2 linked regions of the Yarrowia lipolytica genome follow. The main gene of each other region encodes a partner of the protein of the gene in region 2 in a complex. Links are inferred from orthologs where the notes say so. Each region holds a gene or a part of one and is shown on either strand. Other genes may lie near its edges.

What was found. The genes of interacting proteins can lie anywhere in the genome.
Region 1: YALI1_E06068g (region 2) and YALI1_E12244g share a complex: the UniProt entries of both Schizosaccharomyces pombe proteins name them as parts of the RNA polymerase I (Pol I) complex. The link is inferred for Yarrowia lipolytica from reciprocal best matches to the Schizosaccharomyces pombe genes rpa49 and rpa2.

The regions. Positions count from the first base shown.
Region 1 is NC_090774.1:1,219,990-1,229,644, reverse strand, and holds YALI1_E12244g (uncharacterized protein), read right to left. Parts: upstream 5,261-9,655; coding exon 1,763-5,260; downstream 1-1,762. Other genes in the region: YALI1_E12295g (uncharacterized protein), read right to left, coding at 50-105; YALI1_E12223g (uncharacterized protein), read left to right, coding at 6,796-6,809, 7,335-8,250; YALI1_E12211g (uncharacterized protein), read left to right, coding at 8,374-8,430, 8,485-8,643; YALI1_E12206g (uncharacterized protein), read left to right, coding at 9,049-9,655. UniProt on the Schizosaccharomyces pombe protein: DNA-dependent RNA polymerase catalyzes the transcription of DNA into RNA using the four ribonucleoside triphosphates as substrates. Second largest core component of RNA polymerase I which synthesizes ribosomal RNA precursors.
Region 2 is NC_090774.1:603,144-610,350, reverse strand, and holds YALI1_E06068g (uncharacterized protein), read right to left. Parts: upstream 3,510-7,207; coding exon 2,277-3,509; downstream 1-2,276. Other genes in the region: YALI1_E06109g (uncharacterized protein), read left to right, coding at 1-1,835; YALI1_E06065g (uncharacterized protein), read left to right, coding at 3,813-4,322; YALI1_E06056g (uncharacterized protein), read left to right, coding at 4,696-6,504; YALI1_E06031g (uncharacterized protein), read right to left, coding at 6,788-7,201. UniProt on the Schizosaccharomyces pombe protein: DNA-dependent RNA polymerase catalyzes the transcription of DNA into RNA using the four ribonucleoside triphosphates as substrates. Component of RNA polymerase I which synthesizes ribosomal RNA precursors.

The sequences.
Region 1 (9,655 bases), about 620 kb from region 2:
TGAGCTCCAAACACCCAATATCCCAGACACACATGGCGTCCACTCATACCATGACGATCTCGTCGTAGACCCCCAAAAGAGAAAACAATCTGCCACAACCTCCATAGATTACTCACATTTTGTGTAACGAACGCCGTCTGTCACTGGTTTATAGACGTTGTTGGCCGTTCAAAAATGCCTGGTCTGTTGTGTATCTGTCGTACAAGTAGCCTTAGTCTGAGTTAGCAGGAAACCAAGAACAGAGCCAGAGCCAGACCAGCCCCGCTCACGACAAGTTCCATCCATATCACCCCTTCTCTGTCACTCTGTACTCACCTCCTCCTTGCTGGTATCCGTCTAGCCAAAAAGTGGCGTGTGAAAAGTCGTGTTTTTTGTGGTGGGCGGTTGTTGCTCGCCAGTAAAGATGTCTGAGTTAGCTCGGCCCGTGTCCGTGTCGCGTGTCACGTGACGTCCTCTTGTGTACTCACCACGACGCCTGGGCAGCTTTGCCGTATAAATAAGTTGAGCCGGGGGGTTTTGGGGTAGAGGTGTTTTGGGGGAGAGGTGTCTTAACTACGCTCTAGTTTAGAATCCCGCAGTGGTGATAATGCTTAGTTTGAAACCTTGTTTCGCGATGAATATAAAATGAATTTAAATATAAAAAATTAAATTAAATATAAGAAATGTCAAAAAAATGGGGAAAATGGGGAAAAATGGGAAAAAATGGGAAAAAATGGGAGAAAAAAGTGGAGGAGTGTTTTGGGGATGGTTGCGCGGTTGGACAAGTGTTTGATTTGTGTTTTCGATTATCAAAATTTCGATAGAAGTATTTTACTATGGTGTCAGTGGTACGATGTTGCACAGCTTATAGAGTGTGATTGTTTATCAGTTAAAAAAAGGAAAAGATCGAAGAAAAAAAAATACTGAAAAAAAATACTGAAAAAAATACTGAAAAAAATACTGAAAGAAAACCGAAGTACTTGTATACCACTGTACTTGAATCAATTCTGTATTAATGACACTTGGGAGACTGTTTTTCGCTTAACCCGTACAAGTTCGACTTCCGACTTTCTCAACATATGAGACTTGAATTGTAGGAACATGACGGAAGGTCCATGTTCAACTTCAGCCCGGCAAAGAGCACGGAACCAACAGGAAAGGAAAGTCACTCTGGAGATTGCCATTCCGGAAAAGAGAGGTACTTTTACTTGTATCTAAAGGGTTCCAATTACGAGAGACCCGACATCTGCCGCCATTGGAACATCCTTCAAGTAGGGAAGTTCGAATCAGAAGACAATGTGGGATCTGGAAGATGGGCCAAATGTGGAGTTCAAGCAGTGAAATAACAAATTCTGTTCTGACGGCCCAATCCGAGTGTATGTGTAGAAAAACTTGCCAGTTTAGTGAGAAACTTGGGAGTTTATGTGGTGAGCAATACTTGGGAGTTTAATGGAGAATTACTTGATAGTTAAATGATAGTTTAACTAGTAATTCTGAGTTTAATGAAGAAATACTTGGGAATTAAGAGATAGTTTAACTAGTAAGTGTTTCATCACCTTCCAGTTACCACTCTTACCTCGAACAGCAAACCGCAGTCTCTTAGATGATCAAGAGAGGCGGTCTAGATTCGAATCGATATACCGACTGCAAGACCCATGTGCGATGGCACCTGTTTGAGACCGTACCGGCAATTTACCCCGTACTGTACTTGTACTCTACGTTAATATCTATCAATTAATTATAAGCATCTCATCCTCCATAACAAACCATTTTCTAACCCCGACTAAGGATCAATGTTGTACTTCATCTTAATACCCATGGCCGACAGCTCCGAGTTGAGGTACTTGAGCACAAACGGAATGGCCACCGTGGTGGTATCATCTCCTCCCACAAAGCAGTTGCCAATGGCGTCCTGCCACATGCCCTCAGGAGGCGAGTCCCAAGAGAAGGAGTCCTTTTCGAGCTGGGTGGCACATCGTCGACACTTGACGCCTCGTCGATGACCGGTGGTGCTTTGGGCCTCCTGGGTAGCAGTGAGAGAGCCACATGTTCGACACATGCTGGTCTGGGTGTAATCGGAACAGTTGAGCAGACGGTCCTGTAGCAAGTATGAAGTTCCGTGGCCAATGAGCGCGTCTCGCTCCATTTCTCCGACTCGAATACCTCCAGATCGCTTTCGACCCTTAACGGGCTGCATGGTCAACGGGTTGACCGGTCCGGTGGATCGCACCTGGAACTTATCGTTGACCATGTGACGCAGTCGCTGGTAGAAAACCACGCCGACGTAGATATCACATCTCAACTCCTGACCGGTGACTCCAGAGTACATGGGCTCGTTTCCGTGGTAGTTGTAGCCGGCCTTGAGCAGCTGCTCTCCAAAGTACTCAGCGGCGGTGTTGGTCTCGGAAAACTGCCAGGGAGTAGCATCCTGAGCCATTCCGTGCAGAGCTCCGGACTTTGCCGCCAGAGACTCGACAAACATACCAATGGTCATTCGCGAGGGGAAAGCGTGGGGGTTGATGATAACGTCAGGCTGGATGCCGGACTCGCTGAAGGGCATGTCGTAGGTGGGCCACTTTTGCGAACACACACCCTTCTGTCCGTGTCGAGACGAGAACTTGTCTCCAATGACGGGCGATCGGGGGATTCGCAGCTTGACGGTGATCTTCTGAAGCTCACCGAGGGAGTCATCACCCAGCAGCTTCACCTCCTCCACAAATCCAGTCTCACCAGACTTGTACTTGAGGCACATGGTCTTGTTGGAGTTGGAGTCGTAGTAGGCGGCAATGGGATCACCGTTAGACAGCTTGGCGCCCACCAGAGGAAGACCATCAACGTCCAGAGTCTGAGTCCACTCTCTGGGCCAGTTGTCGGGGCCAAAACCAAAGTGCAGAAGAGTAGGGTCGCCGGGTTTTTGCTTCTCGGTGAGATCCACCTTTTCGGTCTTGTAAATGGTTCCGTGGCCAAATCCTCGCTCGTGTGCAGACTTGTTGATAATCATGGCATCGTCCATATCGTATCCCGTGTAGGAAATAACGGCGACAACCGCGTTCATTCCGTTGGGGAAGTTGTCCAAACCGTACTCATCAAACAGGCCGGCTCGCACAATGGGCGATTGCCCGGTCTGGAGTCGGTACATCTTGTTATCACTTCGGTGAGTCAGGACACCGGGAGTGCCCATGGCCTGCTTACCCATCTGGCACTGGTACATGTTTCGGGGCGACTGGTTGAAGTCTGAGAAGGGAGTCATGTTGGCCAGAATCGACAGAATGTTGGTGGGCGAGTACTCGACATGGGAATGCACGTTGGTGATCTCGTCAGGGGTGACGGCCACGTTGAGGTAAACCTGCTCAAAGGGACCGACAATGTCCTCCTTCTCAGTTGCCAGATGCTTGACGGGTCGCATGAACCGAGAGGCCTCGGCAAACAGATACAGACCGGGATACTGACCTCCTCGAGAGGGAGGCACCAGACCGACCTCGAGATCCTGGGGCAGTCGGGCGTCTCCGGTCACCTTCCACTGTCGAATGGTGTTGGCGGCCTGCTGGGCAATCTCGTGAGTACACCATCCGATAATCTTTCCGTCGAGCATGACGACAGACTTTTGGGGGGTGTTGGCCAGGGCTCCTGCGGGAGAGATTCCGAGCTGGTTGAGCACAGAGTCAATGTCTCCCACGTCGCTCTTCTTGACGGAAATCAGACACTTGTGTGCCAAATGGTTCAGAAGACCACAGGGCGAACCATCAGGGGTATGAACGGGACACAGGAAGCCCCAGGACTCGGGCAGCAGCTTTCGCACGTCAGTGGTTTTGAGCTCGGCGAAGAAAGAACCTCTATGGATCATTCGGAAATGGGCAATGAATCGGTGGAAGTTAATCTTCTCGACGATGACGGTGTAACCGGTGGTCTGCTGCAGATCCAGACCCGTGTGAGACACCAGGTTTCCGGTGGACAGGAAGTAATGCAGTTTTCGGCCAATGTCCTCGTTAATTCGCGGGCAGATTCGCTGCATGATTTTGGGGTCATCCAAATGCAAGGATTGCTTCTTCTTCTGCAACTCGGTTCGCACCGTGGCGCAAAAGTTGCTCAGGTACTCCTCCATTCGCTCCTTGATGATCATGCCGTAGAGGAAGCCGCCGAGCAAAACCTCCTGATGCTGGACGGCATCGGGGTTGTCGGGGGAGCACTCAGACGCGACCAGGGCGTACAGTTTTCGGATCATGAACAGAAGCATTCGGAACTTGTCAGTGTTGTCCTGCAGGTGGACCAGAATGACCCGCTTGAGCATGAGTCGGCCGACATCTTCGTTGGACATGTCCTTAGGGGCGTCCATGACGATTCGGAACTTTTCTCCCAGGAACGCCAGGTTCTCCTGCTTGGAGGTCAGCTTGTAGGACTTGTAGTTTCGCAGCAGCAGTTCCAGACGGTCGGTCAGGAACGAGTTGGAGCCCTCGGAGGCGACAATGCCGTCAAAGATTTCTCGGTCGTTGGTTTCCACCAGAGCCTTGAGAATCATCATGACGGGCACCAGATACTCGTTCTTTCGCCACGAAAATCGCATTGTGATTCCTCCGTCGGACAGGTAATGCAGCACGTTGGTTTGGGACGACTGGTCGGGTCGCACCGATCGGATCTGGACTCCGAACGTGGTGTAGTTGCTTCCACGCTTGGTGAAACTCTTTCGAATGATGGCCAGGGGGTGGTTTCGTCGCTGGACAATCAGCAGACGGATGAGCTTCTCCAGACCGTTGATGACAAAGTATCCTCCCTGCTCCTCGCTCTCCTCCTTGTGGGCCACCATATCCTTGGGACCCATGCCTTCCAAATGACACCGGTTGGAGCCCATCATGATGGGGATCATACCAACATCTCTGCTTTCAAACTTCTCGGGGCCACCGTTGACCGAGTAGCCCAGAGTCAGCACCATACGGGCTCGGTAGGTGGCCATTCGCTCACGGCACTCGCTGGGAAACACCTTTCGGTTGATGGTGGTCTTGTCATTGGCAGACACCGTGGGTCGGCCCAGTTGCACGTTGGCAACCCGGATCGCCAGCCGATTGCCCAGATTCTCGTCGTCTCCGTCAAACACCACCCGCTCGCCAACCTCCTTGGCCGCCAGGTTGAGCAGAGAGTCCATGCCTCCCTCCGTCAGCGCGTTGAACGACCCGATGTGGGGCGCCACGGCGTCTCTGAGTAGCGGGTACTTTTGCTCATCTGGCGGGTTAGCAAAATACTCCTCGCGCTCCAGCGTGTGGAACGACGCCTTTTTCGTTTCACTCATCTTGTTGTGGTAGTAGTGGTGGGAGGAAAAAATTGGACATGTGCAGTGAAATAAAATCTTTTGAAAAGTTTATCCACCGTGCGTCCCAGATGCACGGGGTTGGAGTCTCGGTTGGGGCTGGAAAGACCCGAAGAGGAGGGAAATCGGGAAATACAACGTTAGTTCTGGAGTCATAATTGCATTGCCAAAAGAATGCACTTTTCAGAATCGCGATACCGGCTTTAGTTGGCCCATTCGTCGCACATCTCCAAAGCTACAAAAAAAGTGAAAAACTCAAATCTTAGCCGAGTTTCTCCACTGGTGGCGAAAGAAGTTGTCAATGAGACTTGGGGGCGCTTTTAGACCGACAATGAAGACATAATCTGCAAAAGAAGATGGATATGAGTAGGATGACATCTTTTGAATCATCAAATAATGTCTCCAATTACCCATTTGAGACTCCCCCAACTCCAACGTCTATGAAACTCAAAATGGTGAAATGTGCGCTTGAAAAAGGACGGTGTGTGGGTGAATAGTGAACAGATTTGATTTTTGAAAGTAGAACCAGGATCGGAATGTCTGGAGGAGCATCCTGATATCTTTGCTCTCATCATTATGTTACTCCTAACGTCTGCTCTGGCCAGAATCAGTTGCAAAGTCACCCAACTGGAAGTCAAACGTCTCCGTTGGGGCGAATCAAGGCGGATATTGCAATGAAATGTCTCCTTCGGTGTTGACATGTTTTGTGACAGTTGATATGCTTTGTGGCAGTTGTTATGAATGATTTTTGATCGCGGGTCGACCTTCCAACCACTAGCTGAGGGATAAATCACTCACTCATCTGAAGTTGGTCAACCTGATGACGTGCTCAGTGCGAAGATTCTCCTGATGAGTCTCCCTAGTCGAGAGAAGAGTCTGGTCATTGGAGGGCCTCCCAGAAGAACCCGGCAGAACGCAACCTATCTGATTGTCAGAGTGTCCAAAACCTCAAATGTGTATCATCTAGGCCATATTCCAAGTGATAGAACAGTGTAATCCCTTCTGACGTTTGGAGGACTGTAGGTCTCCAGAAACTGACTCCAAAGGAAGATGGCCGTTGGTATCCATACGGTGCATGTCGGATCCTCAAGGACAGTTGGAAAAGCTCCGTTAAGACTGTTCCGTAACCGTCGCAAAGGTCATCTTTTCACCCTGAGTCAAGGGAAACTTCTCCAGCCGAACCCTTGGAGTTTTGACCTGAAGTCTCGACAGATCCATGAATCATCTGGTCAGATCCATTGACTCATCTGACATCTGGTAGATACCTCTCAATGGCCTTGTTACCAGGCACAAACCTCACGAAACGTAGTTAGAGTCCTTGAGTTCAATGTCAAGTCTCCTCGGATCGCCTACGTGACATCCGCGCAACCATTTTGATATCATGAACGGTAAAAAAGCTGCTTCGCATACTCAGAGCGTCCTTCCCTCGCGATGGTGGAGACGCAACTCAAATCTGCATGGGATATGCAGATGAAAATAAATCTTGGAAATTTTGATCATCGCAGAACCACGCGAAAATGGCGAAAAGCAGGTGAGTTGGAGCCAAGGACGACATCCAGAGATGGAAAAATCATACAAACAGACCTGCCGCCGGTTAAATGGAAGTACCATGATGCTCGAGGGAAGGAGGGTGTGAGATGGAGCAGTCGCGACCGATCAGGATAGGTCTGGGAACTGCTGCGTGGAGTGACAACGCCACGTCAAGAGCAGGGCCAGGAGGGGAAATCACATGATCTTTTTGCTGATCTTACTCTATGACATATTATCACTCACCCGGTCCCCCTACGTTTGGAATAACGCGATTGAACAGAACGATTCTCTATCTCAAACCCAGCTTCCCCAAAGAATGTGATTACGATGTTATCACGTGATGCAGTGACGATGGAAACATTTCCTGTATCATCCTGTCATTCTCTCGATACCACTGTTGCTTTTCATAGCGTAATCGCTCGTCTATTCAGGCACCATTATGGATGTTACCACCCACGCATGGAACATCACTTGATTCTCTCCTCAGATATCACGTGATCCAAACCCCTTCGACGCGCTAACACAGATACGAATACGTGAAAAACTTTGAGCAGGAAAACCATCTTCTTCCCGACTGTCATATCGTGGTTCGAGTTGATGGTCGAGGGTTTCACAAGTTTTCAAAGTTCTACAATTTTGAGAAGCCCAACGATCTCAGAGCCATTGAGTTGATGAACAAATGCGCCGAGCTGATTGTGTCTCAATTTGATGATGTTATTATGGCTTATGGCGACTCCGACGAGTATTCTTTTCTGCTGAGGAGAAAGTGTTCTCTGTTTGAGAGAAGAGAGAGTAAACTGGTTAGTACCTTTGCTAGCACGTTTACGAGTTATTATGTCGCATTGTGGGGGAGGTATTTCAACGGAAATGAGTCACGTGATGAGACACGTGAGACGACTGAGGAGCTGAAGGAGGAGGAGAGGAAGGAGGAGGAGCGGAAGGAGGAGGAAAGGAAGGAGGAGGAGAGAAAAGCAGTCAAGTCTGAACCACGTGACGACTCACGTGACTCTCGCTCAAACGAACTTGTGATTCACATGCTTCCTACTTTTGACGCTCGATGTGTCGTCTATCCAAACGCGCAATCTATCCGAGACTACTTTTCGTGGAGACAGGTGGATTGCCATATCAACAACTTGTACAATACGACATTCTGGACGTTGGTTCAGCAGGGAAATATGACTACGCAGGAGGCTGAGCAGCGGCTTAGCAAGACCGTCAGCAAGGACAAGCATGAGCTGTTGTTCACCGAGTTTGGACTCAACTACAACAACGAACCGGACGTGTTCAAAAAGGGAACGACCATTGTGAAGGAGTTTGACACTACGGGGCTCAGTCAGCGGCAGGTGGAGCGCAAGATGAAGAAGATGGGGAGGGTGAGGGTGATGCATTGTGATATTATTCGAGACGGATGGTGGGATGAGAGGAAGTGGATTTTGGAGTAACCCATGACGACTGGGGTTGAGAGAGTCACGTGAACATATTCCAACGACAAGAATCGTCACGTGTGTTTAATGCTTGTCTCAATGTGATGTACGAAAAGGCTCGTCGATGATATTGTTGATTCCATGACTTCAATCCAAGTCTTGTGGGTTCTCTCGTCTAGTCCCATCATTGGTATGAATGTCGGATGAAGAGAGGGACCAAGTAGAACAACCGAAGGGATTAAGAATCATTAGAGGAATGTGACGAATGAGGAGATTGAAGAAACAAGCAGATGCAATAGGTACTGTACTTGTGCAGTGCTGTCTTGGAGAAGTACAAGGTCTAAAGGTGTTGGTTGTGCATCCATGGTTGAAATACTGGCAGTATCAGATCTGGGTCCGATGGGCCGTTGACTTCGCAGTTAGATGTTTGTAGATGTGTTTGATGTTGTCTAAACCCACGAATACACCATAGATTCGGACTGGCGAAGGTTTTTCTAGGTGCGGGCGTCTCGGGGAATGCTCTCGTACCAAATTCGAACCGGTGAGCCGATTATTCAGCGCACCAGAAGGTTGCGATATTGGGCGACAGTGCTCAACCCGGGTCAGAAGGTCCAAGTTGACGAGTTTGGGTCGTATTGGCAATCTGACAAATCCCAAAGATTCAGCTCGTGCAATTGAGCAAATTCCACTTTTCAGAGTCTCTAAATCTCCTCTCCTTCGTCCAGCAGCGGCTCTTCTGCTTCCCTGGCGTTTGTAGATATGAGTCTAACATCACAACAACCAACTTAGACTCTTACTCACCACTTTTTCTCAACAATGATTCGGGCCAAGTTCACCGAGTACAAACAGGCTCTGCGAAACAACTGGGTGGGCCAACCGCAGTACACTGAGAAGGACTACCCGGATATTGACGGCAAGAATTTTGTCGTCACTGGCGCCACCGGAGGAGTGGGTCTGGAGGTGACCAAGCTGTTGCTGGACAAAAAGAGCCACGTGATCATGGTTGGCCGGTCCAGAAGCGATTGGCAGCCCGTCCTGGACCAGCTCCAGAAGGACCACTCGCACGGCACGTTGGATTTCGTGGAGGCCGATCTGGCAGACTTGACCACAGTGCAACGGGCAGGAGAGTACATTCGAACCAAGTACCCGACTCTAGATGGCGCCATTTTCAACGCCGGAGTCATGGCCCCGCCCTACTCTCTCACTCCACAGGGCCACGAGTCGCAATGGGGAGTCAACGTGGTCTCGCACTTTCTGTTGGCCAAATACATTTCTCCAGCGGTGATCGCCGCGGCAAAAACTGCCCCCAAAGACTCGGTGCGCCTCGTGTGGTTGTCGTCGTCAGTCACATTCGTGAGCCCGTACGAAGGAGGCATCAAATTCGACGATATCAACCACCAGAACGACAAGAACCCGTCTCCCT
Region 2 (7,207 bases):
TCAAGAAGTCCCGACTGGCTTATTCTACTGACAACTTCCGAAACCAAAGAGTGACCCACGAGAACGTGCTTGATTTCGCTCTTGCTGAGGAGTTCCTCGTTGTTGCCGTCATCAATGACGAGGACGAGACTCTCGAGTGCCAGACATCCGTGGACGGTGAGTCCTTTTCCGTGGCTCGATTCCCTCCGGACTTTAAGGTCCCCAAACAGCTGGCCTACACCGTTCTGCAATCTACCACCCACGCCATTTTCCTGCATGTTACCGTCAACGGAAAGGCCAACTCCGAGTACGGCGCCATTCTCAAGTCGAACTCCTACGGTACTTCGTTTATGCTTTCTCTCAATGAGGTTAACCGAAACCGAGTCGGCTTTGTCGACTTTGAGAAGATGGCTAACCTCGAGGGTGTGGCTGTCTCCAACATTGTCATCAATGCCCGACAGGCCTCCAGGGGTTCGCGAAAGCAGCTCAAGTCCATGATCACCCACAACGATGGTGGACAATGGGCATACCTGAACCCTCCCCCCGCTGACACTGAAGGCAAGGCTTACTCGTGTTCTGGACAGTCTCTGGAGAAGTGCTCTCTTAACTTGCACGGCTTCACCGAGCGAAAGGATTACCGAGATACTTACACGTCTGCCTCTGCTGTTGGTATGATGATCGGTGTCGGTAACGTCGGAGAGTACCTCGAGGGATACCTCGACGGAAACACTTACCTTACTGTCGATGGTGGTATCACTTGGAGGGAAATTAAAAAGGGAGCGTACATGTGGGAGTACGGAGACCAGGGTTCTATTCTGGTTATTGTTGACGGAGAGGAGCCCACCAACGAGGTATTCTTCTCTCTCGATGAGGGTGTCACCTGGAACCCCTACAGATTCTCTGAGGATCTTGTCAAGGTTGATGATATTTCCACCGTGCCCAACGATAACTCTCGACGATTCCTGCTTACTGGTAAGTCTCCCCGGTCTAAGGGAGAGCAGTCTACCACCGTTCACATTGACTTCTCTGGCCTCTCTGACCGACAGTGCAAGCTGGACGAGTCCAATCCTGACCGAGATGACTACGAGCTGTGGTCTCCCAGAAACCCCACTCAGCAGAGCAACTGTCTGTTTGGCCACGAGACTCAGTACTACCGAAAGCTGGTCGACTCCAAGTGCTACATTGGCAGACAGCTCATCCAACCACACAAGGTTGTCCAGGACTGTGAGTGCACTCGAGAGGACTTTGAGTGTGATTTCAACTACGTCCGAGACCGAGACGGAACTTGTAAGCTTGTCAAGGGTGCCAGTCCCCCTGATCACGCCCTCCAATGCAAGGAGAACCCCAACCTCGTTGAGTACTACGAGTCTACCGGCTACCGACGAATCCCCCTGTCCACTTGTAAGGGTGGCCAGGAGCTCGACAAGGCTGATGCAATTCCTTGCCCTGGTAAGAAGGGCGAGTTCAGCAAGAAGCATGGTGGTGGACTTGGTGTCATCGGCACATTCTTCGTCATTATTGTTCCTATTGCCATGGCTTGTGTCATTGGATTCATGATCTTCCAGCACTACCAGTCCAAGTTTGGTGTCATTCGACTGGGCGATGAGGACTCGTTTTCCTCCAGCTCCAGCAACCCTGTCGTCCAGCAGGCTCTTAAGGGCCTGGCTTACGTTGTTGCAGGTATCACCATGATCCCCGAGGCTCTCAAGGGCGTCGGCGAGTTCGCTCGAGGCATTTTCGGCCACTCTGGAAGTAGCAACCGACCGTGGTCAAGAGACTACGCACCTGTTGATATCAACGAGGACGACGAGCTGCTTGGAGATGACATTGAGAGCGATGCCGAAGAGGTTATCTAAGCTCCACATATGTATAAGATTAATGATTAATGAGGTGAGTATGTATTGTGTCGTGTAGCTCTAGAAGCAATCTACTACTCTTATGTGCGTGTACTTTCACCAGGATCGTTGAGACATCGCACAGTACAAGTAATTGTTACTTGTGTGTTTGTTTACATGTGCCGTGGTGATTGTGGTACATCTCAAAACTTTCGGAAATACCGAGTATATTCAACTTTTTTCGTCAGTAACTGTTGGTCAGTAGCAGACTTGTCGACATCGCTGTGTCGAGTCGCTGGAGGGGTCCGCTGTGATTTTCACTGGATCAAAGCGAGCCATTGCCTAATGGCCAACCAGAGTGAGAATTTGAGCAATGTTGATGCAGTGCTCTCTACTTCGCTGTAAGAATATTTCATCTCGGATTCATCCAAATCTCCACCCATTATCAATCTATGCATTAGTCTATTTCTTGGCTCTTCGTCGTCGCTGGGCAAGCTCTGGTAGCTTAAGCGGAGCCTTGAGCGAGGCAATCTTCCAGTGGCTAGCCTCGGTTCGAGGTCGTCCGATATCATCCATGTGAGTCAGAGAGGCGTTCTTAATGGCGCATCCCACCTGTCTGCAAACGTCAGCAAGCTTGGAAGGCTTGATTCCAACCTCCTGCGACAGAATGGGAATGTCTACAACGTTGTTGTTGAGTCTCAGCACAAGAATAATGATAGTACACAGCAACATTGCCTCATTTCTGGAGTTGACCATGTAAGTGTGGTACCGTTGTGATTTGTGACCACCAGAAAGGGGAGTGGTGTACCGGTAGAGCATCTGGTCGATGAGGTACTCTGGGGGGTTGTTGAGTCTGGTTTTGATATCCTCCCGCTTCTTGACGTGACGATCTCGGTAGAATCCAATCAGCAGAGACAGATAATAGAGAAGAGAGGTCTTGTACATGGTCTCGTCGGTCTTGTCGGTGATCTTGTAGAGACTGTCTCGCACCATTTGTGAGGTTCGGTAAGGAAGCATGTCCACTCGCTTGCCGATATCCTGCTCGTCCAGAATGGCCTCGCTTCGAATGTACCCAGCCTCCTCGTCGGTGAGGTATCCCTCAACAGGATAGATCTCGTTGACATCCAGAGTCTCGAGGTTATGCTTAGGGATGGGTCGGGCATCATCCATTGCCATGGACACCTGCTCTTGAGTGGGTAGGTTGGCAGTGGCAGTAGCGACAGCCTCCACGACATCGTCCTCAAAGTCAACAAGCTCGTTGGAATCAATGTTGTTTCGGGCCAAACTGGCAAGGGTCTTCTTTGCCTTGAGAGTTCCAAACTCGTTACCCAGGTTGACTCGCTGTTCTCTGTAGGACTTCTGCTCGGTGTTCTCAGCGACTCTCTTGGCTAGTTGCTTGGACATGGCCTTCAGCTCAATGCTTTCGGCGGGGACCAGATCAGCCAAGCCCTTAGAGGAAATTACGGCAACGCAGTACTTCTCGTGGTCCACAGGCACACTGGTGTATCGCATTCGGGAGCTTTTTCCCTTGATGGAGGTCTCTCCATTGTCAGACACGGACGAGAACTTGGCGTCCTTAGGGATGGACAAATGACCGCAGTCAGAAAGAAACACCTTTCCATCGTCCTGAACCTTAGCGACCTTGATTTTCGTCAGCCGCTTGCTCGAAGCCTTTCTCTTTTTGTCGCTGGCCATGCTGGTGTGTATGTATCGTGGGTTTGAATAAAGATATTTTCGAGCACCAGATTTTTTCAGGCTTTGCAGATGAGCTGCAGGGTTAGGTTATTGTGCTGATAGAGGAATCGCGAAGACTGCGGATGTAGGACTTATTCAAGGAAAGCAGATTGTAAATGGTAACTATTTGACAATAGCATTGGACAACTGTATCATTTTCAATTCCTCTGATATTGTGATGATCTGGCTACACTATCTATAAATTTTGCCTCACAAAATTAGAGTTCACTATTAAGAAATTTATGTGGACCTCGACATCCCACTATGAACAATTACTGTGTATACAAGTTTTCAAGTCGTTCGACTTCAGTACATGTACGGGTCTTGACTGATTCCCGCCGTTCCAGTATTCTACCTCGAATTCGTCTTTGTCGTATAAAATATCTCTCGTGGCTCGTCCAAATGATGAAGTACGTGCTTAATAATCTCGCTACCTTCATGAATTACTGCAACAGTACAGTACAAGTACAAGTACTGTACTGTACTTGTATTGTATTATGTAATCCCGATTTTTCTGAATGGTCCTGCTCATTGTTTCCAGCCCCACTTTCATTGCCACTATTCTCAGCCCCTTATAGTACACTCTCACATTCGTACAAACCGGTACATACTCTACCAGACTTTGTATGTACGAATACAGTAGTACCTTGCACTTGTATGTATGTGTTCTCGTACTCGTATCGTAGGTCATGTGACATTCTCTGTGTGTGTGTCTTACTACATGCTATTACCCCCTCTCTACCGTACATGGCCCACCCACATATCTCCGTATAACAGGACAACGGACCGTGAAGCACCTGACACAGCTCATATGACACAGCTCATATCCCAGAAGAGGACTCCGTCCACAGGGTCATCGTGGGCATCGGCCCCCTTGTGGTTTCTTTGTCCTTCTTACAGTAGTGCCAATAATATCCCTACACATGTAACCTTGGTCTTCACGTTAGTGGTATGAAAGAATGAAAGCAAAAGCTGGGGAAATGTGGTAAAAAAATACTAGAACGAGTGACCTGTTTTTGGTGCTTGTAGAGTCGAAAATATTATACTTATCTTAATAGTCACGTTACGCGCGGCCGGCACACGTATCATATCTCCGTACATCTTTGTACATCTCTCAAGCGGGTACACTTTATCACGTACCAAGGTCATGCGGAAGGATGGTCACACAGCAAGAGGTAAATCTCAATGCAGAACCGTGAGTGCTAAAAAATACTACCACAACAAAACAAGAGCGCGAACGCATGGTGCAGAAGTGACAGTTTTGCTTTTCTCCGACAAGCACGATTTTCTTCTTGTGCAGGTACCTACACCTTCTCTCTTTTGCTATAAATGGCTTGATTGCGCTATTCTCATCCTTACACACACACACACACACACACACACACACACACATACACACATACCGACGATGTTGCTACAAGCGTTTGTTTCTGTTTTAGCACTTCCAGGGTCTCTAGCGCTTCCGCTATTCGATCAGAAGCCTCTGTTGCTGGCACCATACGCGAGACCAAACGTGACACTCATTGACGCCCAGAAATTCGAGTTGTGGCTCGCTCAGCAGACTCATCACGCCTTTGAGTCTGTCCTCGACAATGTGGGACACCAAGGTAGCAACAACGGTCTTCCCGTAGGCGTTGTTATCGCTAGTCCCTCTAAAACGGCCCCTGACTACTATTACCAATGGACTCGGGATGCTGCCATCACCATGGACTCAGTTGTGCGGCGGTTCTATGACCAGGCTAGTCAAGGTATACTGAACGACACACTCAGCAACATCATCATGGGATACATTGAGACTCAAGGCATGTTGCAGCACGTCAGCAATCCCTCCGGGTACTTTGACTGGAACAGACGTGTTGTTAGTGGTTTGGGAGAGCCTAAATTTGAGACTGACGGCTCAGCATTCACAGGGCACTGGGGTAGACCTCAGAATGATGGACCTGCACTCAGAATTAAAACGATCTCGCATTATATTCAAACCCAGGTGGAGTGGAATGAAACAGCTTCTCTCGACGACTATGTGTATATCTACAAGTCTATGATCCTACCCGATGTCGAGTACATTCTACAGTATTGGGATCAGCCGACTTTTGATCTCTGGGAGGAACTGGAGGGCTACCATCTCTTCACTTCTCAAGTGCAGTTCAACGCTCTCATTAACGTCGTGGAACTTGCAAGACATTACTCAGATCGAGAGACCGAAAGCAGATGTACATTCACTGCTGGATCGATTCGACAATTCATCAAGACACATTTCGAGGCTGGTTCTCGGCTGAATGCACAATTTGAGCCCAGAAGTTTTGGAAGGTCGGGCCTTGATTCCTCCATATTCTTGGCCGCTCTTGACTCGGTTAGATGGGAGTCTAGCATAGCTGCAGGTACATCTCTCAAGCCCTACGACGATCTTCTCATTGCTACTATCATGCCTTATGTGCACTCCTTCGACTACCCTATTAATCATCAACGATTAGCTGAGTTCGAGGAGTCTTTCCAGGATGAAAATCCTGGGTACGTCGCCGTTGGTGTTGGTCGTTATGCTGAGGACGTCTACGATGGAGTGGGAACCTCTCATGGCAATCCTTGGTTCATCTGTACCGCTACCATTGCAGAGACCATATTCTTCATTGCTCACCACTTGGCCCAGCAGTCGTCTGATTTTGTTCTTGAGATCAATAGTCTCACCAAGGAGTTTTATGGTACGTTTGTGTCTTCTGACCGCATTGCTAGAGACTCCGAAGAGTATCAGCATCTGTTGGACCGTCTCGTTGACCTCGGTGACTCGTTCTTGGATGTCATCAGAGAGCATCAGGCTAACAATGGAGATATGTCGGAGCAATTCAATAGATACGATGGGTTCATGCAAGGAGCTGAGAAGCTGACATGGAGCTACGGCAGTTTCTGGTCTGCTGTTAGAGCTCGCCAGGAAGTTATCAAAGGGACCAGTGGGAGGAAATGAATTGTTAACAGCGGGGGCTGTCTCATTGCTACAATGGTAGCCGGTGGACATTACGAGTCCGCCTAAGAGAAGATGTGACTAGACGATGATATTTATTTATTAAATGCACAAATGAATGAGACTGCAATGCACAAGTACCACCTTGTGTATCAAATTCATGTGTTTATCGTCATTACTACAAGTAGGCGGTTGCAGAGAAACCTCATGTATTATCAGCACTGTAGTATACTCGTACAAATAATTCGTCGTCTAGACTCGTTACTCATTACTACGCTATATACAATTAATCCTCAAAGTCCTTCTTTCCAACGGGCACTTCCAGTCCGACTCTTCGGGCAGAAAGTCGCACTCTCTCCTGATCGGCCATATCCACTCCAGGGTTGTATCGGGCCAGCAGGTCCTTGTAAACTCGCTGGTTCTCCAGAAACAGCAGCATGTCCTCGGCGTGCTGGATCTGTTCGGCCTCTCCGGTTCCGTTTGTGAAGTACTCTCTGAGAGCAGTACTGTTGTAATGTGAAGTTCGGGGTGTGGGCAGCTTCTCAATGGCCTTGGGTGTAGTTTTCTTCTGGATCGCCTCGTACTTCGCCTTGGCTTCGTTTCGCTGGTTCTCACCGTTGATGTGGACGGTCATTGCAGCGACATACTGCTTTGACAGCTCTCGATAGAGCGATCTGTAAAGGTTTAGGGACTTCGACATATTGTT